Linked DNA regions of Lepisosteus oculatus. The protein of the gene in region 1 purifies or fractionates together with the protein of each later gene. This does not show direct contact. Links are inferred from orthologs where the notes say so. Each region holds a gene or a part of one and is shown on either strand. Other genes may lie near its edges.

Region 1 (7,105 bases):
ACAGGTCTTCAGTCTGCACTAACTCAGCCCTTCGCCTTTCAGCCTCACTTCGGCACCTGTACACACAAATGACAGCCAGTCTTTGTATTTACGGCCAGTTGCCAAAATCTCGTCAATAAAGCTAGAGGACACTAAGGGAAGAGTTCGGTCTTTGTAGTTGCTATTGCTCGCAGTCGAAAATAACGCAGCGTTAGATGAAGAGCTGCTCACACACACGGAAGCTCAATTCCACTTGGTCCTAGATCTGCAGATTCCAGGATCCTCCACCACCTAGGAAAATGCCAGTCAGTTTTCTGTGTGTTAAAAGCCTAAGAACAGTTACAAACGACTGGAGGGTACCTGGTACATCCCATCCAGCCTGCTTATTAGTAGCTTATTGATCCAGCCATTTCTTGACTGAATCCAGGATATTACCTTCAACAACATGGTGGTTGTTGTATAAATGTGTAAAGATATGCCTGTTCTCAGTTTTAAATGCATTTCCCTGCAGTTTCCAACTGTTCTCCGGCTGATTTTTCACTGCTCATTCTGAAGAGGACCGCAGGGTTAACTTTGCCAGCAGCTCTGACAGTTTTGAACACTCAGATCTAGTCAGCTCACCATTTACTCTGTTCAAGAGTTCAAAAAAATTCAGCTGGCCTGGAGCTGTTTCCCAGTTCAGGCCTGGGCACAGAGGAGCTCTCAAAAGAGATAATCATTCCCATGCCCTGCCATACTGTTACTAAGTAACACCTGCAATGAACAAAAATGCATCTGAGAAAAAAAAAAACAATCTTCTATTTGTGTGACATTCAAAACACTTCTGTGCCAGGAATTGTTCAAAAGCTCTGTCCATCTTCGAGTTTATTCTACTTTTCTTTCTTGTAAAGAAATGTTTAGAGGCTTGGAAAAAAAGCTTGGGTCTGGTGTGGCTGGCCAGGAGCTGGGCCGGAGAGAGAGTCTGGTGATGGGGATTGCGTAGTGTTCCTGTGTTCACCATGTGAGGTCAAACCACTCATCACCCTGTGCTCAAGCTCCAGACCAGGTGATTTTGGATCAGAGTGTGGTGACTCCTGGCCTGCCATACCTGGGCCGCAGATAATTCAGCAAGTCTGGTTCTGGAAAACACAGAACTTCACAAAGAGAACTGCATGGCAAGAGTCAGCCAGACTATGAAGGAGGATTAAAATGCATGGATCCGATAAATTACCTTCCCAATTAGGATAGAGAAATACCAGCATAACAAACACTTTCAAAACAATAATTCAAGTTCAGATCATTAGAAAATGCACAGGATGCAGTGGGTACAGGAAGTGTCTAAAATAGAAAGCTATTTTATTGTTTTTGCTGTGCTTGGCTACTTTACAAAACAGCGCAAACTTTGTGTACAGTGGGGATTTATCGACTGAGTGTTTATGCAAAGTTTTGTTTTCACTGCGAGGCGGACTCAAGTCTTCTTCCATTACAGAGCTTTCTTTTTTTATTACAGTAAACATTTCCAGTTGTGCAGAACAGCTGTGCTCGGTTTGCGGAGTTTTACCCGGACAAGTTCCTGCTACAAGTATCTTCGCTCGGCTGTATGTTTCAACCCCTCAAGCGTCTCAACAGCGGCTCGGTGTAAGCTAGCAACAAATGCAAGTGGGCACTGGGCCCAGATGCCTCACGGCAGTGAGCAGATGTCAAGACCAAGCAGACTGGAACTTTCCGTCTCCACTCTTCTTATATAATCCTTGCTGTCATCCTTACTGCTTGAAAGGAGCACCCTGCAGTGACTAATATGTCAGACGTACCCTAATGGTAAGTTACAGCACTCTGCGTTACTGCTTTATCTGTAAGCTAAAGTGCCGTTTGATCCCCCAGTAATAATGCTTCTGAAAGATACCGTGCAGTAATGCTCTACTGGCACACTGAAATCCTACCCTGCAGTTCCAAACTCTTTCCTTTCTCTATTGGAAAGGAGTGGCTGCGGATCTGGACGACTCTTTCCTGGACTCTAACAAGGGAAGACTGTAACTTCCCAGCAAAACTGCTTGCGTAGCACTTCTTAAATCAAGCCATGACAAAGAAAGGCAGCTTGCAGAAATAACGTTCACCATTTGCTTACAGGGGCACACAAAACTCTCTGTCTGGTTACAGCGATTCTGTCTTCTCTGTGCGAGATTTGTGGAAGATCTGATAGTGACAGTCTGCCCACCCCGCCCCCTCCCCTGTCCAATTGTTATGTCTTTGTGACAGACAACTACTTTGCCATCTGTCTGCACTAGAAAAGACTTGTTTTGTCACTGCCTGGTTCTGCTCCCTAATATAGTACCAGCCCACATAGACCTCATGAAGCCATGCAAAGGACTGGAGTGCCAGGGGATCTCAGGAAATAACCATGAAATAAAAAGTGAAACCAATAAACTGTTTTTGATTGCTACTATTACATCAATACAGAATGAAGAATGTGTGTAACCTTCATCAATCATTGTGAATAGGAGCTGAAGAACAAAAAGACAGATGACAGGCTAATTTCTGCATTCCTCACAGAACCCAGGAAAATCCTTTCTCTTCAGATCGTGAGAATTACAGATAAAACTTAAATTCCCGACAGAGGTCAGAAAAAAAATGTCTGAAACTTACCATCAGAACTCACTGTGTCATTATTGTCTGGGTAAGCCTGCCCCGTATCTCTGTAGTCAACCCAGTTGATCCCTTCCAAACTGTCATAGTTTGATTGGCTATTATCCTCCACTGGTACCACTGTAAAATGGGGCATTTCGTTCCTCACAGATAACGGTAGCTCGGTCCTGCTAACTCTTAGCAACAGTTCAGTGAGCACTCCCTGCCACAGCAGCTAAACTCCAAAATCTCTCACTGCATTCCAGTACAGTTTGGTCACTTCCTCCAGAGGAAATTACCATATTACCCAACTCCACCCATTACCCGGAGCTTGAAAGTTTGCACTGAATAAGTCTGAATTGACAGGAATCATTACAGCCTTCCTCAGGAGCCCTAGCCTCCTTTATGATCTCTACAAAGAAGCAGAGACAATACAAACTCCCCCCCTGCCCCGCCACGCACAGCCAGCTCTCAAACTAGCGGAACACAGAGTTCTCGCACTCAAGTCTCTAAATGAGTTCTGGGTAATTTCCCTCACAACTTTGTTTCAGGCGGAGAGAGAGAAAAAAGGAAAATAAACTGGGAACTTAAGTGATCTCCTTAATTATATTTTTATTTAAAATATAGTATTGCTTAGCGTCTTGGGCTTCTGGTATTTTCTCCTTTTCCAAACCATTGTTGTATCTGTACCATTTAAAATGTGTGACTCTTTTTAGAAATGTTTTGACTGGGCCGCAGAATATTAAAAATCAGCCTGCTCAACTGGAAGATCAACTGGGGATAGAAAAAAAAGCACTTATACTGAATGTGGAACAAATGTATTTTTTATGGAAAACAAAAATGATCTTATTCCTTCCACCCCCAGCTGAAATGTAAATGTAATTGCGCTTGTAACCGGCATGAGACAGAGGTGACGTAAGTTTCCTTCAAAAACACATTTTCCCACAAAAGTTAGTTGGTCTCTGGATTGCACAAGTGCTTCTGATAGACTTTTTAAACACGTTGTAAACAGTCGCACAATTAATCCACTACACACTTAATTCACACTACTTGTATATACAACCCTTACAAATAATAATCTATGATTATCTTGTGTATTTTTTATTGTTGTTGTCGTTCAGTAAAGCGCTTTTAGAAGCCACGTTGAAAGGCGCTATATAAATAAAGTTTATTATTTTTTATCATCATCTTCCTTGGTCACTCTTCCAGTTTTGAAGCTAGATATAATCAGCACCAACTAAGAAATTGAGGGCGATATATTTTTATTTCTGCACTGCCGGAGACACTTGAATTAAAACTGTAGACTTTTAACTGGCTTTTTCCTAACCGCAAAACGAGGGTGTTGTTTTCGGGATCCAGATGCGTATCCGGACGCCTACCAGACCTCTGAACCCAGCGGCACCTCCGTGTGACGTCACGCCAGCCGCCCCCCCGGACAGACTTCGCTCGCTGAAACCCCGCCTGTGGGTGGGGTTCGGCAGCGGAGGGTGGCTACAGGCAACATAATTCACACCTGAAGAAGGCTGCACAGCCGAAACGTTGTTTTATTTTCCCCTCTTTTCACCATGGAATAAGCCTTTTACTTGTTCCATTAAAACACAACACCGTCTTTGTCGACTGTAGCAGTCCGATTACAACCTCAGTAACCAGCAGTTTCAGTCTCGCACTCGCCTGTACAATACTAAACTCTGTCTTTTCTGCAACGATTGGTGTTAATAGTTGGCATGATCTGCTGTCTGCTGTTCTTCTGTTAGCGCACTCTACCTTACACACATTTCCCTGCAACTGAATAACAATAATTATGAGCAGGGAGAGATCAAAGCAGATGAGCTCTACACTTTCAAGGCCTGTAATCAAAATTCATCTATGGAGCAGCTGAGGTTGAAAAATAACGGCCCTTCGTTCCCCACTGGGTGCGATTATTTAACTTCAGTCTGGAGATCATTCAACAAATGCTAAGAAAATGTGTACAAGGTGGAGAAGCCCTCTTCACGTTTCCCTATTCCTACTGTACTGTACAATACTCACCATCCACAACCCGCTGGCCCACACGGTCGCTGAAGAGGACAGTTCTCAGCACTACAAACCTTGGTGTCCCCTGGTTTGTGGAAGCACACAAAACAATCTTCATTAATGCTAAAGCCTTTTCCGCCTCATTCATTTATGTTTGCATGTCCGCGAAAACGTTAGAGGGTGACTTCAGAGACGCTACTGAGACTGAATTCTGTTTACTTTGACTCAGACGGGGATACTCCTTCATCATAGAAATACATTAGCTTTCTCTCCTTCACGTTTTGAATCGATAAAGGGAAAGGAATGACAATTGCCAACGATTAAATACAAAAGATTTAAGGGACAGAAAATCTTTCTTCTCCGACTAATCAAAAATCGGGTCTTACCAGAGCTCTACAGTGAGCGTGCAATTGTGTAGATGACATATTGGAAATAAACGCGCTCTAATTCATAAGACTGGAGAATTTTCATTAATGTTTAATTTGACTAAACAAGGGATTCAGGGCGGATCCAAGTGAGTGTCTGTGGTTGAACAGGTGTGTGATAAGCCTCTCGCCCTCTTTTTAAACACGCCTCCTGCCGGAGCTCTGCAACACACGAAAGATTGCTTTTGAGACACTACGCACTGTTTAATCCGATGCAAACTTACACTTAATTTAAAGGAATATAGCGTGTGGTACGAGTGCAATTATACTGGTGACGATAGACATGTCCCCGGTAAGATAGTGAATTTTACCTCCTCTCCAGAGCGGGGGCATTTTGTGTCCAGCTGAGCCTTGTGTGTCAGCTGACGATTTGAGTGGGTAATCTGCCCACCCTCACTGAGTCATTACCGAGAACCCGGCAGCTGTACAAAGACCCGCTTTCCAGGAAGTCCACAATTGCCGCTATGCCTTTTTACTCATGGAAGGAGACTTCATAACTCTGGTGTGGAACATTTTCGCTGTCTACACTTTTTCCCCTTTCTTTCCTGAGTATGTGGGCTAGCATCACAGAAGACGGTAAAATAACAGTGACACAACACTGCAAAGGCAGAATACGGTACGACCCCTGTAACAGCCCCTTGCAATGCAAAGCACCATGCATTCCTAAGAAGCGCTCTGATTTCACAAGGTTATCACTGCTATCTGTTTCCAGACTGGTGCTTCATTAAGCAGACCTGCCCTATCACATGGGTCTAGAGGAAGACTGCTTTAAGGAGAAGGACAAAACTTAATCTCCTACTGACAGTTTGATAAGATAATCCTTCAACAATTTGCCCAAGAGGGTTTATTGTTTCCTCTTGCTGATATTATGTTGTTCATTAAAGGAAAATGTTAATGTCAAGAAGTGATAAAGGAGGCTTGGGGCTATATTAACAATTTGTAGGCATGCAGTGACCAGCGTATCTGTCAGGGACTGGTGTGTGTTTTTTTCCTTTTGTGTGTCTGTTTTAATCACGGTCTCTAAGTGTTCCCAGCCTAAACAGTAGTGCAGTTAACAATCGACAAAGATTGAGCCATGACATCCTGTTGGCCTGTTTGCCTGGGCACCTGTTAATTACCACACAGTCAGTGGTGACAGCAGACCGTGTGAGGACACTGACTGGGCTGGACTGTCCCTGGGACAAGGGGACAGAGCACAGGAGACAGAAGGAAGTGAGAAAGCACCGTGACACCTGGTCAGAATCATACCAGACATCGGTTCGCTAATGTCTTATGAGTTGCATGTAAAGTAGTTCAGGGCGACACAAAGAGCCTGTTTTGGAGAGAGGAGTCCTGGCAACTTTAATAGTGCCGTGTGGTTCAGTTGGCTACAGTCCCTTCATGTGGAACTACAGTGAAAATCGAAAATAGAAAGTGAAGAACATGGTTTGAAATACATTTTAATGATAATAAAGATCTTTTAAAAAATACAGATGTAGTAAAGCCTACTGACAGAAAAGGGAACATCATATATATATATTCCTTTGTCTGTTACTGTGGATGACGACAACAACAACAACAACAACAACAACAACAACAACAACAACAACAACAACAACAACAACAACAACAATAATAACTCCACTCAAAGAGCTTTACAGGTAATGGGGATCCCCTCCACCACCACCAGTGTGCAGCCCCACCTGGATGATGCAATGGCAGCCAGAGTGTGCCAGTACGCTCACCACACATCAGCTCTCAGTGGGGAGGAGAGCAGAGTGAGGAAGTCAGTTCAGAGAGGGGGATTATTAAAAGGCCATGATTGGTAAAGGCTGGGCGGAAATTTGGTCAGGACTCTTGGGTTACACCCTTACTCTTTTTGAGAAACGCCCAGGAATTTTTAACAACCACAGACAGTCAGGACCTTAGTTTACGTCTTATCTGAAAGACGGCGCCTTTTTACAGTATAGTGTCCCCATCACTATACAAGACTAGTCTATACAATCTCCTTATTACACATCTTATTACATTAAAACGTGTAATAAAGAATGAGAGAGGAGAGTTAGTGAGCTGCGGCCTGGATTGACAAGGTTGTCATCTAATTTGTT
Region 2 (7,224 bases), on another chromosome or scaffold:
TCAAGGTGACAGGGAAATCAGCACCATGGACAGCATCTAAAGCTTCTTCAAAAGCATTTTACTGTAAACCACAAGAGACAAAAGCTGTACTGTTTTGTATAGAACTGTGCTCAATCTTAAAAGCAAAGTAGTAAACCTACAGAGCCAGACATAATTAAGGTTTCAATCTTAATTCAATTAATTTCTTTATAGATGTTTCCCTATGTTAGTCAACTTATATTTCCAGAATATATTTCGAACTTTTGCATATAGATTTGTTAATAATCAGGTTAATAAAAGCACTGCCAGGATAAATTTAATATAGAAAATAATAGAGAGTTACAACAAACATATATAATATAATTCCAATATCTTGGAATTAAAAAAAGCTTAAAAACAGCTCCTTTAACAAAGTAATAAAAACTGTATAAACCTCTAATTTCTGGATGTTAAGCCAAAATATTAATAAAATAGAACAATTTCTACCCAAGAAATGTTCTGTTACTCTTAGAAAAGTGCAAGATTGCAGACCTACAGTGCAGATACTGAATCTTAAAAGGAAACCAATCATACCCTCACAGAAAGTACTATTTTATTTCATTAGCTGAGCAGCAAAAGAGCCAGTAAGGATCAGATGCTATCAGATGATTGGAGACAATGAATTGCCCTTGCTTTGAAAGAGGATCTCTTAGTCGTATACTGTACATATATATAAAATCTCAGTAAATAAAAACAGGACAATTCTATTCTGTAATATATGCATATTTAAGTGGGTAGGTGAGACATTACAAGAATTACCAGACTTATGTAATCTACCTTACTGTCCGTCAATACATTTTTTAGAGTAGAAAGAAGTCTGTGGAGGCCATACTGACCCATACATCATGAGAGTCTCTTGGGAGTTTGTAGGATGGCAATGTCGGCAGAAAACAATCTCCAGGAAAGTGGATCATGATGGATGGAGCCTATCCGTGCAACATGTTGCCACACATAACAGACATGCGACAGTGACCCACACTGCATAAGCCAATGACCTTGGACAAGACAAGCTAGTTTCTGTCTGAATAACATTTCAGCAGCAACATATTGTGTGCTTCAGCACAAAGTAGAAATGCAAAGAATAACAATACTATTGGTTATAGACTGTGACGAATGATTTCCTACTCTATGCGCCTCTAAATTTAAGGAATCAGACCTGCTGCCCTCAGTCCAGGATCAATTGTTATTGTGTGACTTTCTATGTGATGTGCCATTCCAAATACATCCCTCAACGCTGCTTTTGTGACCACTACAGGACATACAGGGCGAGAATGACATCTGTCATACCAATAGATTTCTGGGTTGCAATGAATAAGCCGCTTTATAATAACAAAATACAGATTTTTAGGGGTCATGATACCTGAAATATTTTACCTAGAATGTTTCAGGTGCAAATGTAACGGAAACTGAACCACAATCAACCAGTGAGTACAGTAAATGAACTGAGGAAAATGTAAAACATCACTTGCAAGTATTGCAAGGATTTCTGTAGCCAAAATAAATTCCCTGCAAGATTATGGGACTGACTTTTAAATCAAGTTTTTTCTTTCAAAAAAATTAGAATTATTTGAGTTGCGGTTATATTTAGGAGATGACGCTTTTCAATGTCTTTTCTTCAAAGTTTTGTCAGATAGTAATGTTTGTTCCATTCAAGAAAAGAGACCAGTTAACATACAAGAACGATCAGTATGCTCTCAGTCCAGCTTTGCATGTTTTGTTGTTTATAATATTTGACCTGTGCTGTGTACATTAAAATCTGCTTGCAACAAGATCGGAATTAACACTCTCTTGGAAAATACAAGAGCTATGCCTTTTAGAAATCTGCTTGCTCAAAACCGAACTCTACTTAGATAATGGAACAGTTACCAGTAGTATTCCATGATATACCCAGTCTTCTCATACATACATACAATATAGTTATATACATGTGTGTGTTACATACATACATAAATTAATGAATACAGAAAATGGAATACAAACACCAAAAATCGTCTATGCGCTGACGTTATCACCAGATGAAGAAGAGACTCTGTAGCTTTACGCCTGATAGCAAGTTGTTCCACAGACAGAAGCAAACTGGGTGTGTCTCAATGCATACAGCATTATTTTTCATTTATTCAAAAATCAACTGCTGCTCGCTGAGTAAAAAAATAAAAAAACTATTAAGCAATCAAAATCAAAGGGACATTATATGATATAGTGTTCTATTTAATTTTAAAGCAATACATTTCGCTAACAATTCATAACGTTAAAATTAGATGAAATCTTAATACAGCAACTCATATCGGAACAAATTACTATTGCATAACAAACCGAACCAAAATATTAAGTGAAAAAGACCATCTCACAACAATAAATTTTAAAAAGTATAGTTTTAAAAGATATGATAATGATGATTTTGTGATCAACACCAATATTAAAAAAAAAACATGCTTTACACTTAATATTTATTTAAATAAAGATTTAATTTACTCAGTTTGGGATTTTAGGGATTTCGGTATGATTTAATTGCTTTGCTCCTTACAGTAATAAGAGTACAAAAAACTTGCAAAACACAGTATATCGAGAGGATATTTCCTTATTTACCGATTTTTTGTGTAACTTTTTTTTAGTCTTATTATAGGAATTTTAGAGGTATTTTTCTCAATTTTGTACAATTCGTGATTTCACCAATTCGGCAAGTGCATGCAGATTATTTTAGCACTTGGGCAGCTAGGAGAAGAAAACAGAAGAGGACTCACCGCTTTGCTCCCCCAGAAAAACGAGTTTGAATTTTCTTAAAGGGTTCCCAAAGTCGCCACCCACGGACATGTTTGGGCTGATTTTTTACTGGAAAGGATGATTGATATGCGATCTACCTCTTCAGGTACACTTGCAGTGGATGCTCGATGGGTAAAGATACGCTTAAATCCGCTGAACGATGAGAATGCTGCACTGCCTTGCCTGTCAGTTTCAGCAGCCTGTGCGCCTGCGCGGCCTCTCCTCTCTGTGTCTGCTCTCCCCCCCCCCTCCTATATGACGTCATGCAAGTGATGTTCAGGCAGTGCAGAAACATACCCGATCACATATTAGCAAAAGTAACGTCTTCCTGCTTTTAGTTTTTACAATAACCAGAAATCGAGTACACTAACTTGAAACAAAAATTAAATTTCGTTGAGCAAAACACAACAAAATGCCTGTCGTGCTCTATTCCTTGTATTCCACTCACGACTGGCAGTGCTCACTGCTTAGTTTGTTGATAGGGCGTATCTCACTGCAGTTAAATGTGATTTCAAACAACAACAAAAAAAAAGGGTTTTAAAAATACTGTAAACCATAATCCTTCTGTTACACTACAGCTATAACCTGCCTAAATGAGAAACGTTTCACTGCCAGATGGAAAAATCACTTTTTAATGGCAAAACTAACCATAGACTGATCATAAACAAACCAAGAGAACCAAGATCGTCTTTAACTAATGGAAAAGTTGCATTCTCTTTTGTTTAAAGATCACAGACTATGTGCTTCGATGTAACTCCTACTTTGGTTAATATTTTCAGAACCCTAGCAGTATTACCAATTACATGGTGATAGCAAAGGTTTGGTCGTAATTGTGCATTTATGAGGTACCCTTTTCTCCAAATGTGGACTATGTACTTCAGTAGAGCAAAGGTGTAACCCTATAATCTTTTATAACCATTTTTAGAAAATAAATATCAGTTATATAGGTGTTTGTGACAAATCAACCCCTACAGTAATTCAGCTCCTGATTCCTACCACCTATCCAGACCCTAACAGAAACTATGATTTCTGCTGCGCTCCGCTTCGAATGTGCCTGTTTACATCTTTTAGAACAACTACGGTTTCATACGTACTGCATGCTCTATGACGGAATGAAGCAGGCTACATAAAACCACACTCAAAGCAGAAAGGTTTGTTTTTGCGTTTAGGCATAAGTGATTTTAAAGCCAGCTCTGAGACTGTTTGCCCCCCGACCAATGTTGTCTATCCCTGACGCTGAAAATGTGATCAAACCGAAATCTGTAAGGTGGAGGACTACCTCTGGTCTGCCACTAGGTGGCGCTGTCTATTAGTGATGTAATCACATGCCTTCACAACTGCTCGTACGCCAGTTAACCATTCGCCCTCCTGTACATATCTGTATACCTCACTTGTCCCCTAAAATTCCGAAACAACCATAAATGTGTTTCAATGGAACTTTTGTGGAAGTGGTATGACAAAGTTTTTGGACAATTTCAGTAGGTTCACACATGAATATAATGGATGAAATAGCTTCTTCTGATTCGTGTTCTTATTGATAATATATCATGCTTTCAAAGAAAAATCCAGTGAGACACAAGAGAGCATTTTTATATTTATTATGTCTTTTCTAACAAAATATATCAAAATGGCATGATATCAAATTGCTATAGACATACTGTATATTTTTAATGTTGTACATTAGTTTAAACATTAATTTAAACCATATACAGCTTCTAGATAAAATCTTTGTGCTTCTGACTTTATTCACACAGCTGTGATCTTATGTAAACTGTAGTTTGATGCTAAATACAAAAATTATGATGTGTAAACGTAAATTAATCTCTTGTACTAGGAGTAAGCAGGAGAATTTCAAAAATGTCTGTAGTCTTATAAACATTTTCCAAGTGTGAGATGTTTGATATCAAAACATTGCTTCTTTATTAGGCTAAAAATAACACACTCCTTAAAACAAATATAGTACAATTAATTTAATTTCAACCACATTAAACTTTACTCTGCACCAGGAAAAAAGGGAGGTCTACTTTTTATTTAGAGGAAAACAGATATTGTGGCAATGTGACATTTTACAAATCTAGCTGTCTGGAGAAAAATCTCAACTCTTGTGTAGCTATTTTTAAAATGTCTTTATTAAAGAAGGAGCAAATACTTCTCATGGTGTTAAAGCCAGCATAGTGTTTCATCTAGTAACAGTCAGAGCTATACTTTTTTAAAACTCAAACCTTATGAAATATTACATTTTTGACAAAAAAACAGTTTTTCAAGTGAAGAATCCAATGATGATACATTAATAAAATTAAAATATACAACTATAAAACCAAACTAGATACTTGTTACATTACATACAGCACATACAGCTTGTACTTCACCCTTCTTTAAAAAATTCAGCCCCTGTATTTTTGGTTTCAATTAATTCACATTACACTCCCTTTGAAAATGGGAACTGTTAATCAATCTGATTCGTCATTGACAGTAGGGTGGTAATGTTTTGTATATAGTGGTGCTGTCATAAAAAAAAAGATATATTTTATCAGTTTATTTGTTCAATGTTCGTCTAGAGTTAACAAAATTAAAATATGGTAGACTTAGTTATATACAATACACAATATAACAGGCAATTAACAAAAATATAATAAGGGTATGTTAAGCTCATTACGATAGAGCCCACAGTCTAAAATGCTTCTGCTTTATTCATATTCACTTCATACTTAATTTTTATTACCTATGTAGCCAAATGGCTTATTAGCAATCAATTAATTTCTCATTCCTGATGTCAGTGCGATTTTACCTTGAGGGAAGATTCCCCAAAACACAAAAAAAGTGATTGTATCAAGAAGTTTAGAGTAAAAGAAGAAAGGATCAAATGTAAAGATTATCTCTTTCACGCCTCCCAGAAAAGCTAATAAATAACAGTTGAAATAGCAGAGCTTTGAATCTGTAACATTTATCAGCACTTGCTGTCACTACCAACCATTTATTAATTATGAAAAATAATCATATGATGTCCAAACTATTCCCTGAAAAGGGAATGGCTTTCTTAGCAAATGAGTAAAATCCAACAGAGGGTGGGTAATATGAGGTATTCCAAGCTTGGCGATGTCAAGAGCTCTTGTGCTGGAGTGTTTAACTTTCTTCCTTCTTCAGCAGAATGACCATTTTAAAGGCCCGGAAATACAATGTCACTTTCAACAAACTGAAATGAAAGATGAAATCATGCAAACCGATTTCACATTTAGTTTTTCCGTATGTACTGCGGAAACAGGAGCACAGATTTCAAACAGGCCCTTCGGGTCTCTTCTGAAAGCTGTAAGCATTGGTTCGATGCACTTTCCACCCAACCAGAGCTAGCAAAACAATCCCCATGGCTTTAAATCCAACTTGTATGCCCAAGTATCTGCAGAACAAAGTGATTGGATTAGAACATTTGAAGCATATCTCATCAAACACCATAATTAGCAATTGTGTGGGAGATGCTGTAAGAGGCCTTTCTTTCCTGATGTGTCAAACAAAGAGAATTTACATTCTAAAGAACTAAGGAAGAATACAGTATGTTGCTGTGTGATGTCATGTGACAAAAACCCTTTGTTCCCAAACAAACATCTTTTGATCAACAGCAGAAGTTAACAAACTCAGTAACGGGGTTAACATAACCCCCTTTCCCAAAACCTGCAGATACTTAAAGGGTAAAGAGATATAACAGATCAAGTAGAATGTTCCTACCTGTTCCTAAGGAGGTTGTTGTCATAGTAACTGCAAGCTCCAGCCTTGTTTGCACATATCTCTTTCCACCTGATGCAGGAGGAATCAATCAGCACTCCAAATATGGCTGGAGCTGGCAACCAAGCTGGGAACGGAGAGAGGAAGAGGTGACAACTTCTACACAACACTGGGGCAATTTCTGTTCAACAGAAGTGGTGACGTATCATAGTTGTGTCTGTTTCTGCTGAAATCTCCTTGGCAAGAAATTCTTAAAATGTTCATTAAATGTATGCTTACTCAGAATTAAATTCTAATTTCTCTCTTTTTAAATGACCTATTGTTATTACTTAAGAAATACGTAAGAAGCGTTTCCTTTCTGCGACATTTCAAATCTGATGTTTTAAGTTTTGATGCAAGTCCCACAATTTTTGCTTGCACTATCATGCTTAAATTGAACCTACAGCAGCTGGGGGCGATATTGGACTTCATTTAAATCACAGACACACAAGAGGAAAACAAGCCTCTGCTGCCTGTGACTGGTGAGCCAGTATTTTACACATAAACACTTAGGCTGTCTCAGAAACAAAAATACAGAGTACTAATAATATTCAAGTATTTTAACAGGATATATATCTCAGTGTCACTGGGTCACTGCACCATACTGTTGCTGATATTTTGTGTGCTGCAAAAGAGTGTATTTCAAAAAATTTCTCAAGGAAATTAAAAAAAAACTAGGAAAAGTTCATT

The links. The genes of interacting proteins can lie anywhere in the genome.
Region 2: the proteins of slc12a4 (region 1) and ras-related protein Rab-6B purify together in Homo sapiens (co-immunoprecipitation; 3 studies listed by BioGRID and IntAct, with this or other methods). This does not show direct contact. The link is inferred for Lepisosteus oculatus from reciprocal best matches to the Homo sapiens genes SLC12A4 and RAB6B.

What each region holds. Positions count from the first base shown.
Region 1 is NC_090715.1:3,583,127-3,590,231, reverse strand, and holds the start of slc12a4 (solute carrier family 12 member 4), read right to left. Parts: upstream 3,010-7,105; 5' UTR 2,738-3,009; coding exon 2,602-2,737; exon of another isoform or gene 1,469-2,601; intron 1-1,468. UniProt on the Homo sapiens protein: Mediates electroneutral potassium-chloride cotransport when activated by cell swelling. May contribute to cell volume homeostasis in single cells. May be involved in the regulation of basolateral Cl(-) exit in NaCl absorbing epithelia.
Region 2 is NC_090708.1:10,335,278-10,342,501, forward strand, and holds the start of ras-related protein Rab-6B, read right to left. Parts: upstream 3,011-7,224; 5' UTR 2,830-3,010; coding exon 2,760-2,829; intron 1-2,759. Other genes in the region: slco2a1 (solute carrier organic anion transporter family member 2A1), read right to left, coding at 6,052-6,172, 6,499-6,622. UniProt on the Homo sapiens protein: The small GTPases Rab are key regulators of intracellular membrane trafficking, from the formation of transport vesicles to their fusion with membranes. Rabs cycle between active GTP-bound and inactive GDP-bound states.